Linked DNA regions of Arabidopsis thaliana. The protein of the gene in region 1 interacts with the protein of each later gene in a pairwise test. Each region holds a gene or a part of one and is shown in the gene's direction. Other genes may lie near its edges.

Region 1 (9,565 bases):
AGACAAGTGGCCCAACGACTTTTGGTACTATGCCTACTGGGTCTAGTAGCCTACTTTATTTAGAGCGTGATAGTGCTGAAGGCCCATCAAATGCTCCACTGGATGCTGAGATACCCAAGGAAAAGCAGATGGCAAACTATTTTCTTGAAAAATTGGGTGAAGCAGGGACATCTAGTGCAGCAGGACACGTAGCTGTGTCTTCTGATTCTATTGTTGCCAGCATGGAGTTGGAGAAAAATAGTCTTTTGCAGAGTAGTCTTGATTCAAATGAGGTGAGCAAGAATGTGTCTGGGACGATATGTGGGTCGCACGATGTGAGCGTAGCCCATAATAGCAAACAGGTGTCTTCATTGACTCATATGACGGACAATCAAGATTCTGACAATTCATCAAGATTATCAGGTGGCCTTGGTAGAAGTAGAAAATTTGAGAGTGACAATTTAACTGGTCTTGCTGACAATGAAGGAAAAGATGATATGGGTCATTCTGACAAAAAGAGGAGAGTAAAACGGAGAAAAAAACGCATCTCTTCTAGATCAATGACCATATCCCAGCGCCTTGGAGCAATTGACAAAACAACTACTGATATTGATCTTGGTATTTTGGATGCCTTGGAGGTCGCTACCAAAGTCGCACAGGAAGTCGCAAGAGAAGTGGACTCTGGAGAACCTTCTCATAGTTCTTCAGAAGAACTATCCGATGAAAGCGGGCAGTCTGGTTCGCAATACTCCCGCGATGATGATGTACATACAGGTTCTCCATCTAAGGGATTATCAGTGACTGAAAACCATTCCTTTGAGGAACCTCATGTTGGAGATGATGATCTAATGGATGAGAAAGATGACAAACCTGAAAGTGGTGATGTTGAAGAAAGACACCTAGCAACAGCTGCTAAATCTGAAGTAGGCAGAGAGAAAAGCCCATGTGGCTTTGATCTTAATCAAGATATATGTCCTGATGAAACAGATGTCATTATGTCCTCCACATCTACAACCCCTGCTCCTATGTCTGTTTCATTTTCTGTCTCATCTTCTGCAATGCCTGCAGCAGCACCGTGGCATTTGGAAAGATCTCTTAGCGGGAAAGGATCAGCTGCTACGAGTGTATTTCACTCAGCATTACCTCATAAAGTTCCTAGTGGGGATTTAAGAGAAAAGCAGGTGATTTCTCGTGGTATCGATCTGAACGTGGCTGAGGTAGGAGATGATCAAGTTGAAGATCTTACTCCTTGGAAACAGTTTCCTTTCTCCTCATCAAACTCTAGGGGTGGAGAGTCTTCACATGAAGCCAGTCTGCGAGGATCAAGCAAGTTCAACTTGGATTTGAATTGTATGAACGAGGACGATGAGATGCCTCCACCTTCTGAGTCGAAGATGGAAACAAGATTGTTTTTAAGTCACAATGGTCAGCAAAGCGCATCACCTGTCTCCTCATCGTCAGTTGCTCAACAATCAGGCAAGGAAGTAAACTTTGATTTGAATGACAGGCCACAGTTTTTCATTGATTCACGTGATCAGGGTCCCTACTATGGGCGGCACCCATGGAGTACAGCCTCCTATGGGGGGCACAAATTGGAAGAACCAGGTATATCTATCTTGGGTACAAAAGTGGAAGCTGACAGAAAAGACTCTGTACCTCAGATGGCTTCGTTCTTGTCCAATGGCAAGTCCCTCGAGCCTGCAACAGGTTTACACATGGGAAGAACGGGAAACTCTTTGGGTCTAGCCCCTGGTGTCTCCTTTTCTCCAGCCCCTATGTATGGCTACAACGGATTGACTGGTCCTCCTGGTTTGTCAATGTCATCACCCATGTATGTTCCTGGAACTGCTATTCCATACATGGTGGATTCAAGAGGTACCCCAGTGATGATGCCGCAAATAATCGGATCAGCGCCGTATGTGCAGCCACCATTCCCTCAACAACACATGTTCATGAGCTTGGCGGGTGGATCGCCTAGTACGAATGGATCAATGCGGCCAAACTTTGATCAGAACTCTGGGTTTGGACTTGAGATAGGAAACAGAGAGTCGCTAAATTTGAGGCAGTTTCTATCACCTTCACAAAGCGGGGCTATGGGAGAGCATTCAGGAGCAAATGTAGAGCCCTCATCGAGTTCTTCTATCAGCATTGGTGGAAAGCGAAAAGAGCCGGAGCCACGTTGGGAGTTTCCTCCATGGAGGTGAGTGATCTACAAAGTGGTGGAGATGGGTTCTTGAATAGGTTGATGAATTGATTGATTGGTCAAAGGATGATGACAAGTGTTTTGAGGTAACTTATAAAGTGTCTTGCTGAACTTTTCCTTCTTTTTTTTTTATTTCCTCAGTTTTCCCATTTTTCAGGTTTTTTATTTTATTTCATAACATATAGGAGGATTAGTTCAAACATTGGTATATGTCAAGCTTCTTTTTAACCTTGTTGGGTTTTTCTCCATAAATAAATATATAGTTTTAAGATACAGAAAAGGTTCTAGTGGTTTGATTAATCTGTTGCGTCCATTTTCGTTCCATTCGTCGATATGTTATGCTCTCATTTCTGAACAACTGTTCATGGAAGAAAGCAGCGAAGGAGGTCTCTGGTGAGGAAGGAAGTCTCTCACGTGTTGTATCTTTCAATAAATAATGGGACCAAATAGACATTACCATTTTTGAACCGCGCATACATATTGCTACTACGGATGAGTGATGACTATGATCTTCCCAAATTGACAAATTGTATCGCCTTTAGGCGAGACTTTAGCCATCAACCGATTAAAGCCAGCCAAACGTAATAACCTTGGCAAGCATAATCATCGTTGTACAAAGAAAAACATCATTTTACTTTTGTATCCGACATCAATAAAAGCATAGCATCCTAATATCCAATAGTTATTTGTCACATGTAAAACAACTAAATATAGCCGTCCGATCGTCCCAATTAGGACGTAAACGAATATCACCGTTGATTTAGCATACTTTGATAATTTAAAAGTCGTCCATCCACGCCACAACCCCGAAATCCACGTCGCTCCACGTCAAGAACAAAACCTTGCTCCAATACAAAACTACCACGTGGCTATCTCACAATACGATCCGTTAGATCTGACACGTTGGCAAATCATGACGAAGCTAACCAATCAGGAGAAACTAAAGTGTACGCAACTAAACAGTTCACACATCACTGAATCATTTCCTATTATATACGGATCTATCGAGCTGAATCATCATCATCACTGAGTAACCCGAAAGCAAAGACTGAGAGAACCAAGGCTCCGATCTAACAATGAGGAAGAGGACGCTCGTGTCCGTTTTGTTCCTTTTCTCGCTTCTGTTTCTTCTTCCAGATCAAGGTACGTTTCGATGTATATATGTGTTGATTTTGAGTAGATAGATATAAGTGTTGCTTAGGATTCATATGCTGATGATGGCGATATTTCTGTGGTGTTTATCATAGGAAGAAAGTTACACGCGAATGCAGAAGAGAGTTCCGATGATGTTACAGATCCACCAAAAGTTGAGGAGAAAATTGGTGGTCACGGTGGTTTATCGACGGATTCCGATGTAGTTCATAGGTTAGTGTTCTGTTAGTTTCACGGTAGAACTTTCGCTTGGATTGCTTGAATCTTGCCTTATTCGAATTCGTTTGATCGACAGAGAGTCTGAGTCGATGTCAAAGAAGACGCTTCGCAGTAACGCGGAGAAGTTTGAGTTCCAAGCTGAGGTTTCTCGGCTTATGGACATTATTATCAACTCTCTATACAGTAACAAGGACATTTTCTTAAGAGAGTTGATCTCCAATGCTTCTGATGTAAGCAGCTTCGTGTACATTGTTTTAGTGAGTTTTTGGGATACCTCGTTAAATAGGGGAACTAATAAGTGTCTGTGTTGGTGATTTTCAGGCCTTGGACAAAATTAGGTTCCTTGCACTCACTGACAAAGACGTTTTGGGTGAAGGTGACACTGCTAAGCTTGAGATCCAGGTTAGCTACATGTTTCTCAATATGATTTTTATGCTTGAGAGTGTTGAAAATAGAGTTTCATCGATTTGTTTTATCAAATGCTGATCTCAGTAAATTTAGCCTTTCGTTGGAATTGTGTCTAGTGTAAGCTTTTTTCTTACCTCCGTAACTATGCTATGGTATGCAGATTAAGCTAGACAAAGCCAAGAAGATTCTTTCTATTCGAGACCGGGGAATTGGTATGACTAAGGAAGACTTAATCAAGAACCTTGGTACCATAGCAAAATCTGGAACGTCAGGTACGTTACTTATGTGGTGATACGTTGTCCTGCATAATAGTATGGATCAATAAATTCCATATTTCTAAGATCTTGCCTTTCGCAGCTTTTGTTGAGAAAATGCAATCAAGTGGGGATTTGAACCTTATTGGACAATTTGGAGTTGGATTCTACTCTGCCTATCTTGTTGCTGACTACATTGAAGTCATTAGCAAGCACAATGATGACAGCCAGTAAGTTGATTTAGAGGGCTTTGTTTGGCAATATACTTGTGGGCATGTAAAATCATTGAAAAGCTTTTCTGATAACTTCTTTTCCGTTTTCAGGTATGTATGGGAATCAAAGGCTAACGGTAAATTTGCTGTTTCCGAGGATACATGGAATGAGCCTCTTGGACGTGGAACCGAGATTAGATTACATCTTAGGGATGAAGCTGGCGAGTACCTAGAAGAAAGTAAACTTAAGGTGGGTAATATTTTGATAAGAAAGTAAATTTCTCTTTTGTTACAAACCTAAATTAAGCAATGCAAAGAACCAGAATAACCCAGGGTTTGTTGTAGAGAACCCCAAACTCTCCTGAGGGGAAGTGGTTCAGCATTATTATGAATTCAGTGCACTGCTTATTCAATATTTCTGTTTATCCTCTCATTATGGTTGCTAATGATCATTGTTGTCTACTACAGGAATTGGTGAAGAGATATTCTGAATTCATTAACTTCCCTATCTCCCTCTGGGCTAGCAAAGAGGTTGAAACCGAGGTCCCAGTTGAGGAAGATGAATCAGCTGATGAGGAAACTGGTGAGTATTAATGAAACACCATATTATAATTTTCTGCTGCAGTGTTATCTTTTTTCCCTTCAGTTTAGGCAGCCCTGATTTTTGGTAATGGTACTTGACTTCAGAAACCACCTCTACCGAGGAAGAAAAGGAAGAAGATGCTGAGGAGGAAGATGGTGAGAAAAAGCAGAAAACCAAGAAGGTGAAAGAAACAGTTTATGAATGGGAGCTTCTGAATGATGTTAAGGCTATATGGCTGAGAAGTCCAAAGGAGGTGACAGAGGAAGAGTACACTAAATTCTACCACTCTCTCTCAAAGGTGAAAACCATGCGTTAACTAAATCATACTTGTTACATACTAGGTGTAAAATTTTCGTGTGGATTTCCCTGACCCCAGTTGTTATACAGGATTTTACCGACGAGAAGCCAATGGCTTGGAGTCACTTTAATGCTGAAGGTGATGTTGAATTCAAGGCTGTGTTGTATGTTCCTCCGAAAGCTCCCCATGATCTATACGAGAGCTATTACAACAGCAACAAGGCGAACTTGAAGCTATATGTCAGGAGGGTGTTCATCTCAGATGAATTTGATGAGCTTCTGCCTAAGTATTTGAGTTTCTTGAAGGTAAACTACTTGAAAGACAAACTAAGGGGTTCTTTCAATACAAATTTATGGGCTAAATCCCTAACGTGAGTTGCTTTTGCAGGGTCTTGTTGACTCTGACACATTGCCTCTAAATGTATCAAGAGAAATGCTTCAACAACACAGCAGCTTAAAGACAATTAAGAAGAAGCTTATCCGAAAGGCGCTTGATATGATCCGCAAGCTTGCTGAAGAAGATCCTGATGAAATCCATGATGATGAGAAAAAAGGTATTCCATAAAACAAGTTTCTTGGTATCAATCCACTTTGACCGTTCCACTTTTTTTTACCATTTGGTAGCTTCATCTTTCTGAAACATGGTCTAAGCTTATTGACTTGTTGGCACGCAGATGTGGAGAAGTCTGGTGAGAACGATGAGAAGAAGGGTCAATACACAAAATTCTGGAACGAGTTTGGCAAGTCTGTCAAACTAGGTATCATTGAGGATGCTGCTAACAGGAACCGCTTGGCAAAACTTCTTCGTTTTGAGACGTAAGCTCTGTTACTTTTTTTTTAATACACGTCTGTCCATTCATTAGCACCAGCAGGCTAAAGATTTGTATTTTGCTATTTCAGAACAAAGTCCGATGGAAAATTGACTTCCCTGGATCAGTACATTAAGAGAATGAAAAAGAGCCAAAAGGACATATTTTACATCACAGGAAGCAGCAAGGAACAGCTAGAGAAATCTCCATTCCTGGAGAGGCTCATCAAGAAGGGCTATGAGGTTTGCATTGCACACGAATAATTCTTCTTTAAATGATCTCCAACTCGCATAACACGTTCTCATACTTGTGTTCCCAGGTCATCTTCTTCACAGACCCAGTTGATGAATACTTGATGCAATACCTGATGGATTACGAAGACAAAAAGTTCCAGAATGTGTCCAAGGAAGGACTGAAGGTTGGGAAAGATTCAAAAGACAAGGAGCTGAAGGAAGCATTCAAGGAGCTAACAAAGTGGTGGAAAGGAAATCTCGCTAGCGAAAACGTAGACGATGTCAAAATCAGCAACCGTTTGGCTGACACTCCATGTGTAGTCGTAACATCCAAGTTTGGATGGAGTGCTAATATGGAGAGGATCATGCAGTCCCAAACTCTCTCGGATGCTAATAAGCAAGCTTACATGCGCGGAAAGAGAGTCCTCGAGATCAACCCACGACACCCTATCATCAAAGAACTCAAGGATAGAATTGCAAGTGACCCAGAGGTAAAACAAACATAAGACCCATCAATTCTTTTTTTTACTTACTGTCTATTAGAGAAATAAACTAACATACCAAATTCTCTCAGGATGAGAGTGTGAAGGAAACAGCACAGCTCATGTACCAGACAGCTTTGATCGAGAGTGGATTCATACTCACCGACCCAAAAGACTTTGCTGCCCGTATTTATAACTCAGTCAAGAGCGGTCTGAACATCAGCCCTGATGCAGTAGCCGACGAGGAAATCGAGGCAGCAGAGGAACCAGAGACCAGTGAGGCAACTGAGACGAAATCAGATGACTTGGCTGGTGGTCTAAACATTGAAGCCGAACCCGTTGAGCAACAAGAAGAGAACACCAAGGACGAACTGTAGATTTCACTTCTGATGTTTCTCCTTTGTGTTTACCTCTTTAGTTTAAAGCAGAACATCGTTTTACTCGAATATCAAGATTAGTTTAATTAAGCAGTTTTTGATGGATTATGTAAACGCACTACTTGCATTCTAGAGATCAAGGAACCTAAACTTCTTCTTTTCAATGTATGAGTTTTTTATCTTTCAAGATTAATGGTCCTGCTGTCCGAGTTTATCTAGATTGTCCGAGTTTATCTAGATATGGTACCATAATATGCACTCTCTTTAGCTAATTTGGCCACCTATCATGCATATATTACTCGGTGTTATTTTCCACAAAATTTATTTTCGAAAACTTATGACTTTTGCAAAAATTTCAAACAGATAATCTGTAAAGCTATAGATTTTATATGGAAAAAGACTTTAATCAATATATTCGTGATAACATGGCTTTTCAAGATGTTGTTTTATCTTGTATCACTTTAAAACATAAAAGAAATTGGTCAATACTTTTGTGAGATCATCACATATCTTGAGCTTGACCCTTGAGACAACGTATATATAGAGGTGCTTTAAACTCTACTCTTGGTCTTTCTTTTTCCTCTTTTCTCTCTTGGTCTTTCGTTTTGTGAATATTCCAAACTTAATTTCTCCACCAAAAGTACTTTTTTTTTTTAATAGAGAGACAAAAATAAACAGTGATGATCATAACAGTCCTTCATTCTCATGTCTCATTCTATTTCATCATCCTTAGCTTCCTCTTCTTCCATGGTACGTAATATTCATATCTATCATACTTTCATATCAGTATGAATATTTCTATATAAAATGTAAATATTAACATATAGCTAAAGCATTGCATTTGGTAGGAAGTGATGGTGCTACAATAACCATCGTAAATCGATGCAGCTTCACCGTGTGGCCGGGAATTTTGTCCAACTCCGGAAGCGGCGATATAGGCACCACCGGCTTCGAGCTCGTTCCCGGTGGTTCACGTTCGTTCCAAGCTCCAGCTAGCTGGTCAGGTCGGTTTTGGGCACGAACCGGTTGCAACTTCAACTCAGACACAGGACAAGGCACCTGCCTAACCGGGGACTGCGGCTCTAACCAGGTCGAATGTAACGGTGCAGGAGCAAAACCGCCCGCTACACTCGCCGAATTCACAATCGGGTCAGGTCCAGCAGACCCGGCCCGTAAACAAGACTTCTACGACGTAAGCCTCGTGGACGGTTACAACGTTCCCATGTTGGTGGAAGCAAGTGGCGGGTCAGAAGGTACTTGCTTAACCACGGGATGCGTAACGGATCTAAACCAAAAATGTCCAACGGAGCTCCGGTTCGGGTCCGGGTCAGCATGCAAAAGCGCGTGTGAGGCTTTTGGTAGTCCAGAATATTGTTGTAGTGGCGCGTACGCCTCACCCACCGAGTGTAAACCATCGATGTACTCGGAGATATTCAAATCTGCGTGTCCAAGATCATATAGCTACGCGTTCGACGATGCTACAAGTACGTTCACATGCACTGATGCTGATTACACCATCACTTTTTGCCCTTCCTTGCCTAGGTAGGTTAACTTATTTTATTTTTGTTTTCATTTTATTTGTTCCCACTTGCTTTTTGGTAAATGCACACGACGAGCTTAGCTAGCAAAGTAAGGTGATTGGCTTGAGCCAGGCTAAGAAAAAGAAGTTGATACTTTTTTTTTTTTTACACGTAATAAAGGAGTTTATAATAGTCATTCCATCAAAGAAAAGGAAAACAAAAAGGTTATTACAACACGTACCATAGGCCTACCATTATGAAACGGGGAAGCACAGATAAATTATTAAAATTTAGTCCTATATTTAGTCCTATATACTATTATTCTGATAATCTGATTAAAGTTGGAATATGTTACAGCCAAAAATCGGCAGCGAATGGGTGGAGAGATGGCGGTGGATCAGTACAAACCTCACCGTCACCATTATCGACGTGGTTGTCCGATGTCTTCACCTCTGATTCCTCAAATGTTCAGTCTTCCCAATATTTACTCATCTTTACTATTTTTCTTCTTCTGCATTTTTGATATTTTTGTTTCTCATTTCCGGGTGTATATTTTCTATCCTATAACATTTTTATGTTTCATGATTATGATTATGCACATTGATGAACATTTAATTTAACCAAATTTATTTGGGGGTTGATTTAAATTTTGGCGGAAAATAGCCTAAAGTCCATGCAAAACCGTATCCAAATGCAAAGTATATGAGATGCCACTAACTTTAGGGTAGAAGTACGATAAGTGTTATAGTCGCAAATTAGTAAGCAACATAATAAAATACTACCAAGTGAAAAGGACTCGTGTATTTATAGATATATAGTATTAGTTTTTGTTTTGCT
Region 2 (6,966 bases), 200 kb from region 1:
GTTCAATTTCTGTGGTATGTTTTGTTTTTAGTATTTGTTTGTAGATGGTGAACCAAATTTGATCTGATGCATGATTTGTGAATTTTGAGCTGAGCAAGATTTTGTGTTGGCTGATTCGCCTTTCCCTCTCCAATTCTATAAGTTAAAGATAATCGTGACTTCGTGATTTTTTCTGAAGAACAATAGATAATAGATGCACGTTGAATACAAAAAAAGTTGTTTGGATTTGGATTTACCCTTAAGGTTTTAAGATAGTAAATGACTCTGAACGAGTCGGCGTAGAAGGATAGTGGCAGGTTTTCATCTGTCTGTTATGGTACATGAATATGTGTAGGCTCAGGTAGGAATGTTTTGTGGGCAAGAGATTGGAAATATATCAAGCTTTGCATCTTCCGGAGCTCCTTCAGACAATAGTAGCTCTCTTTGTGTTAAGGGTGTGGCTCGAAATGGTTCTCCCCCATGGCGAGAAGATGATAAGGATGGACATTACATATTTGAACTGGGAGATGACTTAACTCCACGCTGTAATCCCACTTTTCTATTACCAAAAAACTGTTTTGATAAAATCCTGAAGATACCTTTTAAATTTCTCTAGATTTTTTTGTCAATGGCTTTGAACAAACTCTAGGTGTTGTGGTGGACCTTGTGTATATTGTTTTGATTTCAGTATTCTGATTTCTCTATGCTCTTCTTGTTTTGCAGATAAAATTTATAGCAAAATGGGGGAAGGTATGAATTTATGGTTGTTGTACAAGTTATTTTCATAGGTCCGGTGTAGTTATCGTATCTGATTTCCTAAATTTTCCTTGTAGGTACTTTTGGTCAAGTGCTAGAATGTTGGGATAGGGAGAGGAAGGAAATGGTGGCAGTAAAAATTGTCCGTGGTGTGAAGAAATACCGTGAGGCTGCTATGATTGAAATTGAAATGCTGCAACAGCTTGGTAAACATGACAAAGGTGGCAATCGGTAAGTACTGTCTGTTGACTTTTTCTTCATGCATCACTAATCTGATGAAGTCAAGCATAGTTTTCCAAGATTCTTTTTTGCAAAGGTTAAATCATTGTATTCCTTGCAGTTGTGTACAAATTCGGAACTGGTTTGACTATCGTAACCATATCTGTATTGTAAGTATTTAGTCAATTTTGTGATGTCTATGATTTTCCCCGGTTTGGGAAATAGTTGGGGTTGAATTTTGTGGATGAACTTAAAATGGTTGCTACAGGTATTTGAGAAGCTTGGATCGAGTTTATACGATTTTCTTCGGAAAAACAATTATCGCTCCTTTCCCATTGATCTTGTCCGTGAGATTGGCTGGCAACTCTTGGAATGTGTAGCATGTGTGTAGTCTTTGCAGTCTTTTCATTCTACATGCTCGTGCATTTTTATCTGAGTTTTGCTTGTCACTGAGATGGTTACATCATTAGTTTTTGAATTTCAGCTCTTTTCATTTCTTATGGCAATTTTCTTGTCTATTTTTGTTTTGCAGTTATGCATGACTTGCGCATGATTCATACGGACCTTAAACCAGAAAATATTCTGTTAGTCTCCTCAGACTATGTGAAGATTCCCGAGTACAAGGTATATCTCGAATGCAACTGTGTGTGACCTTAATGTGGCCAACTATTTAAGTGCTGAAGGAATTTGGTTGTGTTTCCTGATGCAGGGGTCCCGATTACAAAGGGATGTATGCTATAAAAGAGTGCCTAAATCAAGTGCAATAAAGGTGATTGATTTTGGTAGCACAACTTATGAGCGCCAGGACCAAACCTACATTGTATCAACCAGACATTATAGGGCACCAGAAGTCATTTTAGGTGAGTAGCTCTTGTTATAAAAACTCATTAAAATTTTTAGATATCACAAACTTATGGAGAAACATTGCCTTGTGTGCAGGTCTTGGCTGGAGTTATCCGTGTGATGTTTGGAGCGTTGGATGTATCATAGTGGAGTTGTGCACGGTGTGTGTCTGAAGTAGTTGATTGTTAATGAATGTTTGGGAGTCTTTTATTGAAAGATTTGAGATTTGTAGGGTGAAGCATTGTTCCAAACACATGAAAACCTGGAGCATCTAGCGATGATGGAGCGTGTTCTTGGGCCGTTTCCTCAACAAATGCTGAAGAAAGTGGAGTGAGTTGAATAAAACACACGGTCTGAATTCTGAAGTGATTGTATATATTGTTGGGTGTTTAACTGGATTTATTTTTGGGTTGTTTGGTAAAGCCGGCACTCAGAGAAATATGTGAGAAGAGGTCGTTTGGATTGGCCAGATGGGGCAACCTCAAGAGATAGCCTGAAGGCAGTATTGAAGCTTCCTCGGCTTCAGGTTGGTCAAGTGTTGATATTTTGAGTTTGGGTGGAGTGTTATGGTAGTTTGTAAAATAATGGTGATGCCTGTATTGCAGAATTTAATAATGCAACATGTGGACCACTCAGCCGGGGAGTTAATAAATATGGTGCAAGGACTTCTGCGATTTGATCCGTCAGAGAGAATAACCGCTCGTGAAGCTCTGAGGCATCCGTTTTTCGCAAGGAGAAGATAGCGGGACTTGAATTTGACGAGTGTAAATAGGGATGAAATATGTATGATTTGTAGCAAGTCTTTACCCCACAACCCCACGAATTCTGATATAAATTAACAAATATGCTAAGATCACTCTTTTTTTAACCGTGATAGGCGATTGTTTGTCTATCTTTGTAAACTGGATCGTTTCAATTCAAAAGAGTTTTAGTTTTGGATTCTATCTACAAGTAGAGGTATATGCATAAAGAGAAAGTGCTGCTACAAGTAGAGGTATATGCATAAAGAGAAAATGCTGCTACTCATTACTGAATGATTTCATAACACCAAGCTAAGAGAATGGATTTTATAACGCATTTACATTGGATTATATATTGAAGAAGAAATGGTATAATAAGAGATAAGTTGCAAAGAAAATATGAAAGGCCAAAACTAAAATATAAACTAAAGAAACTCCTCCATTGATGAGCCCATCATAAGAATTAGTGATACAATAACCCAAACCAAATTAACGGGGCGTTTTTTTTTTTCTCTTCTTGGCATTCGTCGGAAAGAAACAGCATGTAGTTTAACCAGCGTAAAGAAAAACTACACGATTTGTAAGAAAATTCTCCAGTTTCACTTGAGTTTCCGTGTTTAGCTATCTTCTCTGGAATTTACCCAGAACTTCTTCCGCCTTGTCCGATTCTGCTTCACCTCTGCGCATTCCTTGTCTGATCCTCGCAGGAAACTCTACTGTCGTAAGTCTGTCTTTTACCAAAATGTCGTTGATTTTCCATACGACTTTCGTTTTATTTTCACGATCTACGCCGATATCGACCATTGAGTCTACGATTTCTCTATTACAATGGATTTAAGAAAACAATTCTGACGAATGGGATTAGATTCTTACAAATATACCTGCAATTGCATTGTTCCACCCTTTCTTTTGTGATTTTTTCAACTACTGTTTAATAAAAGGTTCAGCTCAAATTTGTGAGATCAGAAACTTGTTCATGTGCCAGTTTTCAAAAATCGTGGCTTTTTAGTCCTGAGGGTTTATATGTGAAGCTAAACTATGTTATTCATTGTGAAAGTTTTTTCTAACATAACTTTTGATGTTCACAGAGCAATAGGTTGATGGGTTCTGCAGCCAGACAGCCTCTCTTCTCATTTGGTGTTATTGCTGATGTTCAGTATGCTGATATTTCTGATGGCCGCTCTTTTTTAGGTGTTCCTAGGTATTACAGAAACAGCATCCTTGTCCTTCAAAGAGCTGTTGAAACTTGGAACCAACATGGTAACCTCAAATTTGTTATTAACATGGGTGACATTGTTGATGGCTTTTGTCCCAAAGATCAATCCTTGGCTGCCACTAAGAAACTAGTCCATGAATTCGAGAAATTCAACGGTCCTGTGTATCATATGATTGGTAATCACTGCCTCTACAATCTCCCCCGCGAAGAGTTGCTTCCGTTGCTGAAGATCCCAGGTCGTGATGGCAATGCTTATTATGATTTCTCACCAACCCCGGAGTATAGAGTTGTGGTGTTAGATGGTTATGACATCAGTGCTGTTGGATGGCCTCAGGAACATCCTAATACTATCGCTGCATTGAAAATACTTGAAGAAAAGAACCCAAACACAGACAAAAACAGCCCCGCAGGGCTTGAGGATGTTGCAAGGAGATTTGTGAAGTATAATGGTGGTGTTGGGGAGAAACAGCTGCAATGGCTAGACAGTGTTCTTCAGGATGCATCGAATTCAAACCAGAGAGTTATCGTATGTGGGCATGTGCCTATGAGCCCTGGTGTGGCATCCAAAGCAGCTTTGTTATGGAATTTTGATGAAGTGATGAACATTATACACAAGTATGACTCTGTTAAAGTTTGTTTGTCCGGACATGATCATAAAGGAGGATACTTTGTTGATTCTCATGGGGTTCACCATAGATCCTTGGAAGCTGCCTTGGAGTGTCCCCCAGGTACGTATTCGTTTGGATATATCGATGTATATGATAACAAGCTGTCTCTTGTTGGTACTGATCGGATGCAAAGCACCGATTTTGAGAACTAGAGTTTTCCTGAATGATCAATTATTTGAAATGCAGAGTTTGTAATCACAACCATATTTCTATGTATTTGGTGCTTTGTGAATAAGATGATTATAAGTTTCAGTTGATTGGATTACTAGTTATTTGTATGAACTTCCATATGTTCTTAACAAGGAATCTATATCAGATGGATCTGTTTTGGATTTAGTTGTGCAATAAAGGAAATCTCTAGCTAAATTTATCTCTTTGTAGTGTCTAGCTGAATTTTTAGGTGTACGTCTGTGTTAAGGTGATGAATATAGGTTTTCAAGTCATGTTCCTTCATAGATTTAGTGCAGATTATTTTAAGAAACATAGATAAGATTTGTGTTAATTGTAGTTTAGATGTATTAGTAACAGTTAGACCTTGATTAGCAGAACAATAGATCAAGTTTTCAGCAGAAACTAGATTGTTTTCTGTATACTGGAAGTCTGAAACTGCTCGAGGGTTTTGAAAGAACTCCATTTCGTGGAGGCAAATGATGTTAAGGGAGCTAAATGGAAGGAGAATATTGATTTTCGTTTATGATTAACTGCTTGGACTATGAGATAGTCATCAACTATCAGAGAGAAGACTCTTCCTCCAACAGACATTTTTTTGATGAGAAGCTGAATTGGTGATGTGGGCAGTAGCTCCTGTGTCTGGAAGACTGACTTTGATCTGACACCCTCATAGCAGCCAGAGCATTATGTAGATTTTCAGGCTGGTAGTCATGTTTTAAACCTGTTGTGACACTTGAATGCAGAGTGCCCATATCTACCACATATCTGACTTGTAGGTTTTTGTCCAGATCCAGAACCTGTGCTTGAACCTGATCCAAACTGTTGCTGGAAACCTCTACCACGGGAATCATTATAGCCTCCACGAGTATAGTATGCTTTCTCAATGTGATATGCCATGTGAGGAGTGACTTCAGAGGGAGAATTAGCATAGGCTATTAACTTATAATCAAAGGCTGTGAGTTTATGCACCACATCATCAAAACAAGGACCAGGATAGAGATTTAGATAGTGCTCTATCACAGTTGCCACAGACTCATGTTCCGTGCCTAATCCGTTTAGAACCCCATAAAAATTCTCTTGTACTTGTTCTCTTGATAAAACCTTCTGTCGGAGGAAGAGTCTTCCCTCTGATATCAACAAGGCTTATGAGTTCGATTGCAAAGCAAATACTGTAGCCCGTTTTATGTAGCAATTACTAATTTGATTCCAAATTTAGTAATTCCCTAGGAAGTAAGGAAAGTGTAACTGTCTTGCTGAATCCTTTTGGTGAGTCTACACTTCACAGAAGTTCGGGGTTGAATCGAAGCAGTTGCAATCCTGTTTGTAATATTCACTAATAATTCACAAGTGCGTGATTCAAAAATGCTGCATAAGCCAACATCATAAAGAGAATTTATTGGGAGACTGCTTTAGCTAGCAAACTTAGTGCATACTTGTTCTAGAGATATTTAAACTAGCACATAATTTTTTTTGATGGACCAACAATCAATCTCAGCAAAAGAAACTCAAAACCGGATTTCCTGAATTAGATGTCTTCCTGAATGATCAATTATTAGATTTCCGGATTGGGATCTAAGTAAGTCCAATTGGTATGATGAGGAGTTTTTTTTTTTTTTTTTTTTTTTTTCATTCTTGGGCATTGTTTTTCGTGACTGAACATTATTCGATAGATCAACTATGTTCGTGTCGACTACCGAGTAATGGCGCCCGAAAATTCCCTTAAATTCTTCGCACTAAATGATCGCCGGTTCAAATATTGGCGTCTAGTGGCGTTTATGTATTTAAAGATGGGCATTCTATAAATATGAGACACATGTGTGACACACATTTAGTCGTCCTCCCTTACCAAGATCACATTCTCATTCGGATCATGGCCATCCACACTCTCCTCTTCGTATCACTTCTCATATTCTCACTCATCGAGTCGAGTAGTGGAGGAAAGAAAGATAGACTCTTCACCGATCTCCAAAACTCAATTGAGGTCACCGCTAAACCCGTTAAAGATAGCGGAGGTTTGTGAACCGTCTTACCTTCTTTATAATTCAAAGATTTTGTACCTTATCTATTATCTTTTCAAATCCGCGACTAAAGTGTGTATTCATAAGTAGTGAAGTTGCCCACTAGGCTCTAACTGTAGGTTAAGTATAAAGATATATTACCTATTTTAATACGGAAAAAATAGTTATTTTCGTTTATACATCTCTAGACTCTTTTTTTGGAATATACATGATTTATGATTCATCTCCATACTTGTATTATTATTATTTTTATAAATCTATATACTCAAATTTGCACATGGATGATCTTTAGTTTTAGAGGCTGGAAAAGATATGGTGACAATTACATGGAAGCTAAAGTCGTCGTCAGCCAAGGT
Region 3 (7,298 bases), 220 kb from region 1:
GAAGTTTCTTATCGATAAAGCAAAAGATATTGACAAAACACATATGTTGGTTTAGAAAAACTTCAAGTTGCATTTCTTCTTTTAGCCAATCGCACTATCTTCCGTGAAAAGGTAAATAATATATAGCTTTATGACAATTTCACAAAAATGGTTCGTTAGTTTTGACTTAGCATTAAGATTTTTTTCCAGAAATCTAAGTATTGGTAAAATAATTCTATATCTACTACTAGGTCAAAATACAATTCTATATTATTTAAAAAATTGTAACTGAGGTAATTGATCAAATTACCAAAATGATGAAAGAGCTAGTTAAGAATTTAACAATGTACAAGTTTTAGTGAAATGGTCAAAACTAAATATCCATTCTTTTGGCCCGTTAGCATCATTAAACCAACCACTCAATGGAGACATGGAAGATCAAAATTCGTCAACCCTAGCGCTTTGTTTCTCTACAAGGATCAAGTATGGAACAACAACAACCACAAGAAATCGAAATGTGCTAAGGTCGCATGAGTTCGCTAGGAATAAGTCTATAACATTTCGTTTTGTCAACAAAATAAGATTTTAGTATATATATTATTTACAATTTTACCAGACTTCCATTGTCAACAAATGACATTATTGTTGTTGTCGAAGAAAAAACAAAGGTGACACTATTTGCTGTTTTACTTTTTATTTCATGAGGACGGAGGACCCATTTTTTTAATTTAGTTTAAAAGAGCAACCGTATCAGTTGATTACGGAGTCCAGCAGAGAAAAGCATGCTCAACTGTCAAAAACAACCTAACAATTAGGGAATCCCGTAAAACCGGCAAATCACGAGGGCAGCATTACATTACATTACATTACATGTCCCACAAATCACTTTCCCTCCCATGCTTTTCCACTTCCACCTATCATTACCAACACCTATTACCTAAAGGACTTTAAGCCAGAGAGTTTTCAAATCCCGTACCGTGATTGGTGCACTATGAAGTGGAAAGGAATACGATGAAAAACAAACTGTTTTCTCAATACATTTTCACCGACACCAATCATGAAGCAAATAGCTGCAATTAATTTTTTCTACGTTTTAAGACAAGAATATATATTAAACTACTTATTTTCTTCTACATCTTAATTAAGTAGTTAGTATTCTTACAAACACTTCTGATTATCATTTTTGTGTTCAATATATAAACTCCTTTCTATTTAAAAAATTCCCTCAACACTATAATATCATTCAGTCCCTATCTAAAAGTTAGGTGTCCATAGAGATATACGGATATTGAAATTTAAATGATATATGGCGGAGATCATGCAAGGACAATTATCTTCAATAGAATCATTACGACTTATTAAATGTGTGTTCCCGACATTTTATTACATGATTCTACTGTTTTCTTTCTCATCATCTCATTCCATTATTTGTTTTTCTATTTGTGTTTCTAGATTACTTGACATGTACGTTAAATCATTTATCTTCCTTTTCCCTTGATATCCCACTCGAATGACATGTTGCTGTAGTACTATTACTATGGTTGGAAATCTTATTTCTCTGAATAATAAAAGTTTATATTCAGATAACTGCTATGATACGTAAACTTTCCAATGGTTATTTAATTTTGTTTTGCAATTAATATATGCAACTATAAGTAAAGCCTAGTGAATTCTTTGGATCGGAGTTATATGCTATGTGCTAATAATACAAGGAACCCCGCAATATTGATATAAAATTTACCAAACTGTATCCCACACTTTAAAAGTTGTCATCATACTTTATGTGAATGCAATAGGATCCAAATCGTTTGGGGAAGATTTTACATTTTAAATTCTTATATTCCGCAAGTGCCCAATGGTGCCGCACGAATTATTTAGTGTATCAAACTATTGGTAGGAGCAATTAGTAAAGCATATACAGTGCAACAATCTATTTAAAAGTATAGAAATATCTAACTAAAACATATTTTGAAGATTCCCTCGTCCTCCAATCGTCTTCCATCATCGAAATATCCCTTTGAAGAGCTAAGAAACTTGGTGGGAACAAATGATGCTATTCGATAATTTTCTTCGATTCTATGGTATATTTGGAAAGATTGGAACATAATTAATATATATATCCCACTTGATGCATAAAGAATGTTGTTTAAGAAACGGAGTTCTGAGGTAACTGACTGACAAGTGCTTCGACTCAACCATTACTACTTACCAAATCCACGGCTCTTGGCATACCCCATACACGCTTAGTGGATATGGTTGAATCGCTAGTTCCCACCACCAGCTTCTTTATCTTGACTTAAAAGAGGGCACGTCGATGTCTTCCTCCCCTACACGACAATGTAGAACATGCATGTTCAAACAATTTGCAAATGGAAGATATATTGGAAATTTGTGAAAGGCCATGAGGTAGATACACAATTAAATTCATGAGTTCATAGGTCAGAACAAAGCTGAAGCATGTTCTACATGCCCAATCAAGAAAAAGTCAAACTTTTCTCAATGCCGACTTTACTGTTCTAAAATGTATGAAAATACACATTAATATACAATTATAAATACATGCAAATATATATTGTTATAAACTATATAATGGTTACTTGATATGGATCCTTATACTTAACTAACTTAACACCAACTCCCTGGATCTATAATGTATATATTGGGCTAAACAGGTCATGTGGAAGTTATTTGAAAAGTACACCATATCGACCTAATTAGATTGGAGGCTTTTTATTTAGTTTTTTGTCAACAATTAGATTTGAGTAACGGATGTAACCATATTATTTGTTCCTACCTCCTAGGCATTATTATAGTATAAGGTTTTTTTTTAACTAAAGATGATTTAAAAAAAAAAAAGTGGGACCTAAACCTTAAAAATTCCAATAACAAATAGTATAGAGGTCCTTTTTCTCTTTATATAAACCCCCAAAATTTCCTCTTCTCTGTATTCTCCACTCAATACTTATTTCCTCTGTCTTCCTTCGCTTCCCTCTTCTCTCACCACAATCCGAGAGAGAGACAGTACTGTAATCCAAGTGAGAGAGAGAGAGAAATGAAAATGCAGACGAAGAAGCTCTTTATCACCATTGTCTCCTTTCTTCTCTATGCTCCATTGTTCTTATCTTCACCAGTTCCTGACCCTGAATCTGTCGTTGAAGAAGTTCACAAGTATGAATCTTTCATCTTTTTTCCTTAACCCTTCCTTCACATTTACTTGAAACCCACTTCTCCTTTAAATTTCTGCTTTTTATGGAAACCCAATTTGAGCCTAGCGTTACAAAGTTGTCGCCTTTACAAACCAATTTGAGCATAGTGTTACAAAGTTCTCACCTTTACAAACCAATTTGAGCATAGTGTTACAAAGTTCTCGCCTTTACAAAAATGGGACCATTTTGAAAAGTCTCTGTTTTTCTAACAAAAGTTTGCAATGTGTTTGTGTTGTTGCAGGAGCATTAATGCGTCGGTTGCAGGAAGAAGGAAGTTAGGTTACCTCTCATGTACGACCGGTAACCCAATCGACGACTGTTGGCGTTGTGACCCTCACTGGGAGCAACACCGTCAACGTCTCGCTGACTGCGCCATTGGATTCGGCAAAAACGCCATCGGTGGCCGTGACGGTCGGATCTACGTGGTCACCGACTCAGGAAACGACAACCCAGTTAGCCCCAAGCCCGGAACTTTAAGACACGCCGTGGTCCAAGACGAGCCACTCTGGATCATCTTCCAACGAGACATGACGATTCAGCTCAAAGAAGAGCTAATCATGAACTCATTCAAGACCATCGATGGCCGTGGTGCTTCCGTACACATCTCTGGTGGGCCTTGTATAACGATCCAGTACGTGACCAACATTATCATCCATGGGATTCATATCCATGATTGCAAGCAAGGTGGCAACGCTATGGTGCGGAGCTCTCCACGGCATTTCGGGTGGAGAACGATATCGGACGGTGATGGTGTCTCTATCTTTGGAGGAAGTCATGTTTGGGTTGACCATTGTTCGTTCTCTAACTGTGAAGATGGACTTATTGATGCTATCATGGGCTCGACGGCTATCACTTTGTCTAACAATCATATGACACATCATGATAAGGTCATGTTGCTTGGTCATAGTGATACTTACAGTCGTGACAAGAATATGCAAGTTACCATTGCTTTTAACCATTTTGGTGAAGGCCTTGTCCAAAGAATGCCCAGGTAAATAAAAAATCACTTTGTGTTAGTAGTTAATGTGATTGTGACCATGGATATAGATTAATTTTGGGACCATTGTATTGTTGTTGTGTAGGTGTAGACATGGATACTTCCATGTGGTGAACAATGACTACACACATTGGGAGATGTATGCGATTGGTGGAAGTGCTAATCCTACAATCAATAGTCAAGGGAACAGATTTTTGGCACCCAATATCAGATTTAGCAAAGAAGTGACTAAGCATGAGGACGCGCCTGAGAGCGAGTGGAAGAGATGGAATTGGAGATCTTCCGGAGATTTGTTGCTAAACGGTGCGTTTTTTACTCCGTCTGGTGGTGCAGCCTCGTCTAGCTATGCAAAGGCTTCGAGCCTTGGGGCTAAACCGTCTTCTCTAGTTGGACCATTGACGTCTACTTCTGGTGCACTGAATTGCCGTAAAGGTTCCCGTTGCTGATTGTGGCTTAGTGGTCACACTTAAGTTTTTACCCCATTATTATATAGGAAAAGGCAATTAAAGCCACCAATTAAGGGGGATTAAGTAGTGTAGTAAGACTTTCTTAATCCCTTGATTTACTCTTTTTTTTGTTTGTTTATTCGGGTAAAATTGAAGGAGAATACAACCTCTGGCTAGCTGCTCTCTAGGACCCTTCTTAAGGATTCTCTGTTTTAAGGAATCTTTAAATTAGGTTAAAGTGTGGGAACAAGTGCAGATGTGTTGATCTTGATATTAATATAAATATGATTTTGTGTCTTTATCTTTTACTAGTATTATTTTCTTATGAGCATTGCAATGCAAAGACATAGATTAGTCACAAAAATTAGTTTGAAGTATAAATTTGCGTACACACATGATGGAGAGGTTAGTTAAAAGTGTGCCCATTTGGCAAGTCAATAATGGCTCTTTGATTTTCCAAATAAAATGACTTTTTATTCGGAAGTTTGTAATGTTATGTAAAATGGTAACTTTTGGGTCAAAGATGTTGGAGCCAGTCAATGTTTGACCAACTGCCGCGACTTTTTTTTCCTCTGGCCAATGCATCGATTCCGGTAAATTAAAAGAAAAATTACCCTTAAAAATAGGAAAAGAAAATCCTAGGCATGACAATGAGAGAAGAGAAAAGTGAAGTTGATAGATTTTGAATAGAAAAAAGAAATACTAAAATTTTCAAAAGAAAGATAATTGGAGCAGTCAATACCACAGTAGCTCTACTTTTGATGGGTTTGTCTCATATTCGTGTTTTGACTACTGTCCACTGATTATGGGATTTATTTAAAATTTGAAAGTAACTAATTAAACAACTAACCAACTTTCTTTGTGGCCATGTGCACATTTTCTTTTGTTAAAGATGGCCATGTGCAACATGATAATACATCTAGGAACGAAAGGAAGAAGAAAACTTTGAAAGTAACAAGTGGTCGCAACTAATGATGTGATGTAGTTGGTGTGATTAGTATGTGGCTGGTTTGATTTGGTCAGTCAGTGAGTATTAAATGTTAGTTTGCCAAGAAAGATTTTTTTTTTTTTTGGTCATACTGTATATAGCATAAAACTAGGTAGAGAATTTCCTTGTTATGAAAAAAAAAATCTTTACATTTGAGTTATTGGGGAACGAAAGAAATTCCTATGGAGCAAGAAGGTTTAAGTGGCCATGTTATGAGTTGTGTGCGGTCACGTGTACTGGTCAGTTAATTTAGTTGTAACAATCGATTATATTTGTTCTATTATTCTTTATATTTCAGTGATGCCGTAACAGTAAGAAATTATAGTTAACTGAAACCAACAAAAAGATTCAGAATTACTGGTGTTATTCAATTATGGAGTTAAAGTTAATTCTTTAAACTTTAGATTTGTTTTCTGATATTGCTTTTAAGAATATGTTTGTATGAATTTCAAAATCTCTGCAATATATCTTGGATTTTGATTCTAATGATTTACTCATGAAACTCCAAAGAGGTTTCATTTCAAATCAATTAATATACAAAGATTTTACAAGACTTTTAGTTTTGAACAACATTGGATTTTAATGAAATATTTAAAATCTTAATTGAATAACACCAAACTTTAAAATCTATTAAGCATGATTTACAAATATGAGTTCCAATAACACTAGATTTTAAAGCTGGATTTAGAATCATTAGTTGAATAACATTGGATTAGTGTTGGATTTCAATTCTATTAAAATTCATTAACGAATAACACCCCCTTAAAGTTAACTCTTTCAAAACCGATCATAACGCACACAAGCCTCCACCGAAATGTTTGACACCATAATATTTTACTACCGAGTTCGCAAGGCTAATATGTATTTCCTTTTGTAATTTTTCTCTTTATTCGTATTCGAGAATAAGTGGATTGTTCTTCCGAAAGTTAGATAGATCATTATGAGGTTGTTCTTAGAGAGCTAGAAAACTCAAAACAAGTTTATCAAGTCGATCAACTCTTTGATAAACTCAACAAATAGTTATCATTGCTCATTATAAGATTGAAAATGAGACTTTGTATTGTGGAAAATAAAATGCTTACCTCAAGTGAAATTTTAAAGTTTATGCTATGATGTTTGTGATTTCGCAATTATATGATTTAATGATATTAAATAATCAAATAAATAATAATTCATTAAAATTCACATATGGTTTAAATAGGTCTAAATGAGTTTATATGGGTCAAAATAATTTTGATGGTTCTAAATGGGCTTCAAATTTAAGTGGGTTTATATTTACATGAGTGTGTGTGTTTACATGTAGAGGGGCTTACCCAAATTAACATCCAAATTAACATAGAGTAATTTCCAAAATGAAGTAAGATTAACATTCAAATTGTGACTAGAACTTTGATTTGAGTTATATAGACTTTGTGTATTATTTTTTTATAATATAAACTTCGTTTTGATAAGTTTATATAAACCTTGTTTTCGTAAGAGATTGTGAAATTTTCTTTGCAGAGGGACATGGTTATTTTTTGTCTTTGGTTCTTGTAATGAGATTTTAACTATGGTAAATCTAAGAGCCCATTTGAAGATGATGTCTCGGCCCTCCTTATCCTTATCTCGCCCACCGTTCTAAAACCCTTCCCTTCCTCTTCTTTTCTCTTCTCCTTCCACTTCCACTTCTTCTATCTCTCACA
Region 4 (7,278 bases), 910 kb from region 1:
GAGAGATCAGTTGTTTGTGTCCGAGCCGCTTTTTCTTGCAAGTTTTAATTTCCCTTCTTTAGTCGTTAACCTAAGCAATTGGTCCCCTGGAATTTCCATCGATGTCACAGATCTCTCTCCTTTAGAGTGAGTGAGGAGATAACGTGTGAGCCACGGGATCCGAATTAACCACAAAAGACACAAACCTTGTACCACAAAAGAAAAGCCCCACTTTGTCTTTAATCGGTTTCTGTTACATGATATGTAACTTACATCCAGAACATTGGCTCACTGGATATTTGTGATGGGCTTCATTGGGCCTTTCAGGCCCATAGTTATTACTCAAATTGGGTATGATTTTGTTGGTTAATGTTGAGATTTGTGTGTTTGGGTGGTTTTGTCTCATATCTCTCTTAAGAGGGAAGTGTAACCTACTAACCTCCTCAGACAATCCACACAGTATCTATTGATTAAATGATGGCTTTAAATCTACTGAAAGTAAAAAAAATGGTTGCTAAATTAACTTTACAAAGAGATGAAATAAAGCTGTCACATCTATAACTAAAGAGAAATGTGTTATCCGATCAAATCTTGTTCTTATAATGCTTAAATCCTTCAACTAGCTCATATCACATGGAATTTATACGGTCCTTGGAACCTTCTTTGCTATATATAGCGGTTGCTACTTTTAAAGAAGGGAACTAGAAGACATGGCAACTACTTCAGAGTTCATATTCTTCACTATATCAGTATATCTGGAAACTAAGAATTTGAGCCTAGATTGCTTTAAAAGTCTGGTGAGAGAAATATATTAGTTAACGTTTTTTTTGTCTTGGTATTGAATCTTGCAGGCCCCATTGTGAATGCAACGTTGAGGACACGGATGAGTACAGTGTCCATTTGTCAGATGAAAGATCCATGATTAACTACTAACTTGTCTTAATTCAATTTTGATAACCGGGTTTGTTTGGTTTCCTATACACTGGAACTTAACCGGTTATCATCACCATGAACACAACAGTTTTACATGTTACACGTCAATTTTTAGTTAGAACTTGCTAATCAGTATTTAGTGTTTAGCACTCGTGGAGCCACTGAGCTAGAGAGTGACATCACTAGAAGGTCCCCAGAGACTCATTTGGCGACACTTGGATAAGGAAACAAAGTGTCGGTGGTCACAGTTCATTCATTTTTAATTGAAAAAATCAAATTTGTTCATTTAAAAAAAAAATTGGAAAATCCAAATATCCAAATTTGAAGTGAATTTGAATCTGCAGATTCAATGTGATCTTGGTAAAAGCACCGATACTTCCCCCAGATGAAAAAAAAAAATAAAAAAAATTCTAGGATTAAGAAAAGAAGAAGAATCGAATTAGTAGTAATGTCCTCTCATTTTATAGCTCTGTTACATATTTATTTAGTTTTAATCATTCTAAACAAAATTAGTCCTTTGTTACTGAAACGAGAAACATAATAGTTCCGCAACAAATAATAGTGGAGCCTTTAGCTTTTAATTAGATATCTAGTTTACCTCTATGAAAATTAGTTAAGAATATGAAAGATAACATAATTTCAGATTTTTCTTAATTTTGCAGGGACATATTAGTATACCTATTTACCTTCTTAGTTTATGTGAAAAATATCAAAACAACGTTTATGTTAAAACATAGGAAAAGTTCAAAATGTACTCTAAACTAAATTCAATATTTAACTTCAACCCACAAACAGATAAAGTATAGGGAACACTCAAGAGTGAAGAGTGGTGAACGTGTTTTATTACATCACATGGATCAAGATTCATTCAATATTTGAGAAGACTTTACGATACGAATCTACTGACAATTACTACAATAAGTAAAATAGTTGGATATATAAATAACTACAGAACAAAAAGTAATTGAATATGTACAAATGGAATTATATCTTGAACTAAATAATCGAAATGTACTTGAAAAAATAAGAATCCACCTTGAGTTCATCGAAAAGAAAGATTCCATAACCTAAAAGGAGCGGTTTATCCGTTGTATTAAAAATTTAACAATAACAAATGTTTCAGGTAATTGCAAATCGACCCATGAATATATTTTGACTTTAGCTATTCCACCCCATAAATATTATTTGTTATAGCCGCCCCCTTTGTGTGTATTATTAACAAAAGAAGCATAAGTTTTTTTTGTAAGATTCTTTTTAGTCATAGGGGCCACTGATGCCACTCAATGAGACCAAAATCCAAAACTTAGTGATTGGTTTTTTGTTTGACAAAAAAATGTGAATTGTTTAGTTAACCAAAATACTCTTCTAAATGAGGTAAACTATCTAACAAGCCATCCACATTAATATCTCCAACCTAAACTTATTTATTTTCTCATAGCACTGTGTAGGACTCTAACTAGCATGATCTATGGTCACTCACCCGTCCTTCGAAATAGTAACAAAGTTGGGTTTTAGATTTCTTACCGAAATTAAATTTCCAGTAGAACGTCTAGCATACATTTGAGTAATTTCAATGAAACTCCACAAATTAATTTTTATCAGTTTGGAAAATATATGTTTTGGCAACAGTCCATATGAAAGTTCATACATTAAAAAAAAAAAACGTAGAAAAACTTTGTTATTTTTTCTCAAATTCAAACTTACACTAATTTAGCTGTCGCATCAATTAAGTATGATTTTTTTTTCTGTTTAAAGCTTATAATGTGTCTGCAATTTGATAAATAATAAAAAAAATTACATAAGTTTCTTATAATAAGTCTACGCTTTTCAATTTTCATTGAATATAGATTCTTAATCACGACTGAACGGAACATACAATTATTGTAGTCTTATAATAATATTGTTGGTTTCTCAAAGTGAAAATGAATAAAGCTTAATGATATATGATCTGTCACGTACTTAAACATATAGAAACAGTAGCAAATTCACCAACTTGCCTTTAATTTACTATAACCTTCAAATTAAGCTTCTTTTATTTTATGAAAAATAAATAAAGAAAACTCCATTTCCCTTTATTTAAGGAGGCTGCATTGCTTGCTCACTGACTCAACTCAAGAGTGGTGTAGTGAGAGAAGAAAGATAGAGAAAAAAAATGGGAGGCAAAGGTGTGATGATGGTGGCGATACTTTGCCTTTGGGCACTCTCTGCAACATCTGAAGCAGTAACAGAGGCTGAGCCAGGTTTGATGATGAACTTCTACAAGGACACGTGTCCTCAGGCCGAAGACATCGTCCGTGAACAAGTCAAACTCCTCTACAAACGCCACAAGAACACCGCTTTCTCTTGGCTCCGTAACATCTTCCATGACTGCGCCGTTGAGGTCCGAAAACTCTCTCTCTTACAATGATCTTTCATATGTTTGCATGATGGGTTTTGATATTTTACCTAAAACAGATCTAAAGATTTTACTCTGTTTTGCTCTGTTTTTTTGGGTTAAACAGTCATGTGATGCGTCGCTTTTGCTGGATTCGACAAGAAGAGAGCTAGGAGAGAAAGAACACGACAGGAGCTTCGGACTTAGAAACTTTAGGTACATCGAGGAGATCAAGGAAGCTCTCGAGAGGGAGTGTCCTGGTGTTGTCTCATGTTCTGACATTCTCGTCTTGTCCGCAAGAGAAGGCATCGAAGCAGTAAGTTTAAAGGATAATAATCGTGCCGTTTTCTCTGTCTGGTGACAAAACTGCATGCTGTTTTTTTCCTTTTTTGACAAAACTGTGTGGGGTTGGTGTAGGTAGGAGGACCTTATATTCCTTTGAAGACAGGAAGGAGAGATGGACTTAAAAGCAGGACGGATATGCTCGAGTCATATCTTCCCGACCACAACGAGAGTATCTCCGTCGTTCTTGAAAAGTTCAAATCCATCGGTATCGACACTCCCGGCCTCGTCGCCCTCCTAGGTACCTTTTATCTTTCTCATCCTTGATTATTTGTCACTAGGCTCCGGAAAAAACGTAACGCTTGAAATTAAAAACTCTTGACCAACCGAGATATTTTGTTGCTGCTGCCTTAGATTAAGGGTATTTCAGTCAATTTACTCATGCATGAAACACTCTTATGACTAATGAACCACTACTAAAGCTAACTTTATTGAATCACAAAAGGAGTGTATGCGATCTGAGTTGAACTTTGAAAGTTATCCTTATCCGATCTATCACTAGTACTAACAAATAAGACAGGATAATCCTTGTTTATGCCCCGGTACAATAGCCTAGCACAAGGTTATTTTGGTCAATAAACTCATGCATGCTTAAACATACTAATCAAACTAATTGACTTTACTCTTATGGGATCTGAATTTAGGCGATTGGAATTTAAGTTTCTTGTTAGATTTTTAAGTTCGATACTGAAAGATTTTGACTTTTTTTTTTTATGACACGTGCAGGGTCACACAGCGTGGGAAGAACTCACTGTGTCAAGCTGGTCCATCGTTTGTACCCTGAGGTGGACCCGTCCTTAAACCCGGACCACGTCCCTCACATGCTACACAAGTGTCCTGACTCGATCCCTGACCCAAAGGCGGTCCAGTACGTGCGTAACGACCGTGGCACCCCCATGGTGCTAGACAACAATTACTACCGTAACATCCTAGACAACAAGGGTTTGCTCCTTGTGGACCATCAGCTCGCACACGACAAACGAACCAGACCAATCGTTAAGAAGATGGCTAAGGACCAGGCCTACTTCTTCAAGGAGTTCACTAGGGCAATCCAGATCTTATCCGAGAACAACCCCTTGACTGGCTCTAAGGGTGAGATCAGGAAGCAATGTAATCTCGCAAACAAGAACCATTGAAGTTGGAAAAAGTGAGAAAGACAGGGGCTCTGGTGTGTTGAGTTCTCTGCTTGGTACGAACCAAGATGAATAAAAAAATCTTTTAAGTTAAATCAAAGAAAGGGTGATGATGAATACATCATGGTAGTGACCACCTCCTTCTTTTGTGTGTTCAGCCTTAATGCTTTAATTATGATGTTAGTGGCTTTGAGTTATTTAATCTAAATGTTGGCTCTTCGTTGATTTTGGGTTTGTGGTGGGGGTGATATAATGATAATGGAAAGGATGTATGATATGATGGATGGTGTTGGGTATCATGTATGACGATGTAATGATAAGTAAACATGTCCGAATCTTTTGATAATTTGTTCAACATGCATGGTATACATAAGTACTGTGTATGGGTGATATCGATCTATTTTACTGATCTCACCAAAGATTTTAAAAATTTGTAGTAAATGACATGAATAATTGAATATGATATGACTCATGAAAAAGATTCCAAAAATAATAATTCAAAATAAGAGAAACGGGCCACAAGCTAAAGAGTAAAGCCAAAAGTCGCAAGCAAAAAGAAACAAAGGCGTAGTAATATTTAATCACATGACCCGCATTGAATTGTAAAGGACAGAGACATGTTATATATAGAGAAAAAAAATATCTAACGGATGAGATTCTCTTCGAGGGTATATAGACTATAGTCTGTACTTAAACACTTCAATTAGAAAATACATAGAAAACGTTAGGTAGACTTTAACTTTTCTTAAAACTAGACGTGAGAGACAATAATGGTGGTGGCGTGTAGACAACAAATGCAGTGATCTATGGTTTAAGATATTTGCAGTTTCAAATCCGAAAATTTATTTAAACATCCACAGATACACTTGGAGCAGCATTAACGTATTATGTAGAGTGTCAGCGAGTTTCATTTGTTTTCTACAAAATAATTGGGATAGAAAATTATAAGTTGCATCAACTTGTTAGCTTCTGTATTTATTCATTTTGTCGACATTTGTTAGCTTGTGGCCTTGTGTATTAGATTCTATTTCTAGCTGTCGATTTTGAATCCATTTTATTTTTCAGCATATGTTTCAAAAGGACTAAACGGATCGGTTCTTTTGGAGTCTATTTATTTTATAACTTACCAAACGGGCTACATTTAGTTTTAAATGATAGGTAACATAGTTCAGGCCCATGACAACAACCCTAATAGCTTTTATGACTTATACACCAAGCAAAGCAAAATGCTCATCTTTTACTTTAATCCTTGTTTCGTTTAATGTTCAATCAGTGAAAAAGCTTCAACAACTTTAATTAATTTGATCTATGTTACACGGAAATGCATCAACACTGAAATTTTAGAGTTCCCTGGAACATTCAAGAAAAAAGAAAGGAATAATGTCACTCCATCTTTAGTTAGAGACGGAAAAAAAGAACTCATTTTTTCTTGATGATCATCTTCATGCTAATTAAAGCGGAAATTGTATAAAATCAAACGAAACTAAACTAAATTAATTCCATAATATTTATAATGGTAATGATGTTTATATGATAATTGTTTTATCGTTGACAAAAAACAAATTATGTTTTTATGATTTAATACAAACTTTTAATGATGGACCAAGCCAGTAAGGCGTACCTAGGTCATACGTTACTACATTTGGGTTCAATATTTTGACTTTGTCCATGAGATTTAATGTGTCTTTGCCAACGGAATGAAGCCGATCGAAGATAAAACTTTGATCTCCTTGCTGTAAAATTGCATGTATGAACTCATTAATTTTGATGTTGCGACATTTACTTTGATCACCACTTCCATGAAAGTGATTTATCTTCCTTGTTTATTTCTTTAGAAGAAAATTGATATAGCGATTGTTCCCAGTCTCATGATCATAAAGAGTGGTGGAGCCATAAATGACTTTTCAACTACATGACAAACACTGATAGTTACAGTGATCTATTTTCAATGAGACAAAACTTCCACGAAGCTCTCTTGCTAGGATCAACGTTCTCAGTCAATATATAGAGTCAACGTTTTGTGTCATCCGAGAATGTATCCTTATTACCGTAAGCGTGCATTGACACATCCCCCCTACAACCTAGATCCATGAGCTCTGAGTTGATCTTCTCTTTAACTAAACAAGGATCCAGACCATTAGGGATGGGTAACTCCCCATGTCCCAAAAGATGCATGCGTCAGCATCTGCCAGGTTTCATTATAATTACGAGACGGAATTGAAAAAAAAGCAGATCCATTATAATTAAGGGATTTACTAAGGCAGATCGACGGTTAGATATACGCTGGTTAACTAATGACGGATCGATCAGATGAAAGCTAATCGAGATCATAGACAAACAATTTCGACAAAGAGAGAAAGATCTTACTTGAATATTCTTCGACCGGATCATAGGACATGGTTTCGTCCGCAGCGGATGAGATACTTTGTGAATTTAGGGTTTAGTATCTATAAATTTTATGTAAATCGAACAGTTAACCTTATGTGTATATGAGCATTTTCTTATTTTCAATAGATT

The links.
Region 2: the proteins of SHD (region 1) and AT4G24730 interact in a two-hybrid assay, tested with the Arabidopsis thaliana proteins (one study listed by BioGRID).
Region 3: the proteins of SHD (region 1) and AT4G24780 interact in a two-hybrid assay, tested with the Arabidopsis thaliana proteins (one study listed by BioGRID).
Region 4: the proteins of SHD (region 1) and PRXR1 interact in a two-hybrid assay, tested with the Arabidopsis thaliana proteins (one study listed by BioGRID).

What each region holds. Positions count from the first base shown.
Region 1 is NC_003075.7:12,549,545-12,559,109, reverse strand, and holds SHD (Chaperone protein htpG family protein), read left to right. Parts: upstream 1-3,051; 5' UTR 3,052-3,258; coding exon 3,259-3,325; coding exon of another isoform or gene 3,326-3,329; intron 3,330-3,429; coding exon 3,430-3,547; intron 3,548-3,629; coding exon 3,630-3,783; intron 3,784-3,874; coding exon 3,875-3,955; intron 3,956-4,121; coding exon 4,122-4,233; intron 4,234-4,318; coding exon 4,319-4,445; intron 4,446-4,538; coding exon 4,539-4,677; intron 4,678-4,895; coding exon 4,896-5,010; intron 5,011-5,114; coding exon 5,115-5,308; intron 5,309-5,397; coding exon 5,398-5,613; intron 5,614-5,695; coding exon 5,696-5,861; intron 5,862-5,981; coding exon 5,982-6,123; intron 6,124-6,207; coding exon 6,208-6,358; intron 6,359-6,435; coding exon 6,436-6,840; intron 6,841-6,923; coding exon 6,924-7,208; 3' UTR 7,209-7,558; downstream 7,559-9,565. Other genes in the region: AT4G24200 (Transcription elongation factor (TFIIS) family protein), read left to right, coding at 1-2,183; TLP1 (THAUMATIN-LIKE PROTEIN 1), read left to right, coding at 7,889-7,958, 8,042-8,692, 9,086-9,348. UniProt on the Arabidopsis thaliana protein: May have a molecular chaperone role in the processing of secreted materials. Required for shoot apical meristem (SAM), root apical meristem (RAM) and floral meristem (FM) formation, probably by regulating the folding of CLAVATA proteins (CLVs).
Region 2 is NC_003075.7:12,750,303-12,757,268, reverse strand, and holds AT4G24730 (manganese-dependent ADP-ribose/CDP-alcohol diphosphatase-like protein), read left to right. Parts: upstream 1-2,962; 5' UTR 2,963-3,258; exon of another isoform or gene 3,259-3,625; 5' UTR 3,626-3,637; coding exon 3,638-4,573; 3' UTR 4,574-4,741; downstream 4,742-6,966. Other genes in the region: FC2 (LAMMER-type protein kinase AFC2), read left to right, coding at 335-524, 703-729, 813-966, 1,076-1,124, 1,223-1,337, 1,487-1,578, 1,664-1,814, 1,894-1,958 and 3 more; AT4G24715 (high-affinity nitrate transporter-like protein), read left to right, coding at 6,397-6,604, 6,903-6,966. UniProt on the Arabidopsis thaliana protein: Hydrolyzes ADP-ribose, IDP-ribose, CDP-glycerol, CDP-choline and CDP-ethanolamine, but not other non-reducing ADP-sugars or CDP-glucose.
Region 3 is NC_003075.7:12,767,961-12,775,258, reverse strand, and holds AT4G24780 (Pectin lyase-like superfamily protein), read left to right. Parts: upstream 1-2,820; 5' UTR 2,821-3,031; coding exon 3,032-3,147; intron 3,148-3,426; coding exon 3,427-4,176; intron 4,177-4,267; coding exon 4,268-4,628; 3' UTR 4,629-5,038; downstream 5,039-7,298.
Region 4 is NC_003075.7:11,644,099-11,651,376, reverse strand, and holds PRXR1 (Peroxidase superfamily protein), read left to right. Parts: upstream 1-2,732; 5' UTR 2,733-3,064; coding exon 3,065-3,292; intron 3,293-3,413; coding exon 3,414-3,602; intron 3,603-3,703; coding exon 3,704-3,869; intron 3,870-4,354; coding exon 4,355-4,764; 3' UTR 4,765-5,268; downstream 5,269-7,278. Other genes in the region: AT4G21950 (uncharacterized protein), read right to left, coding at 6,772-6,936.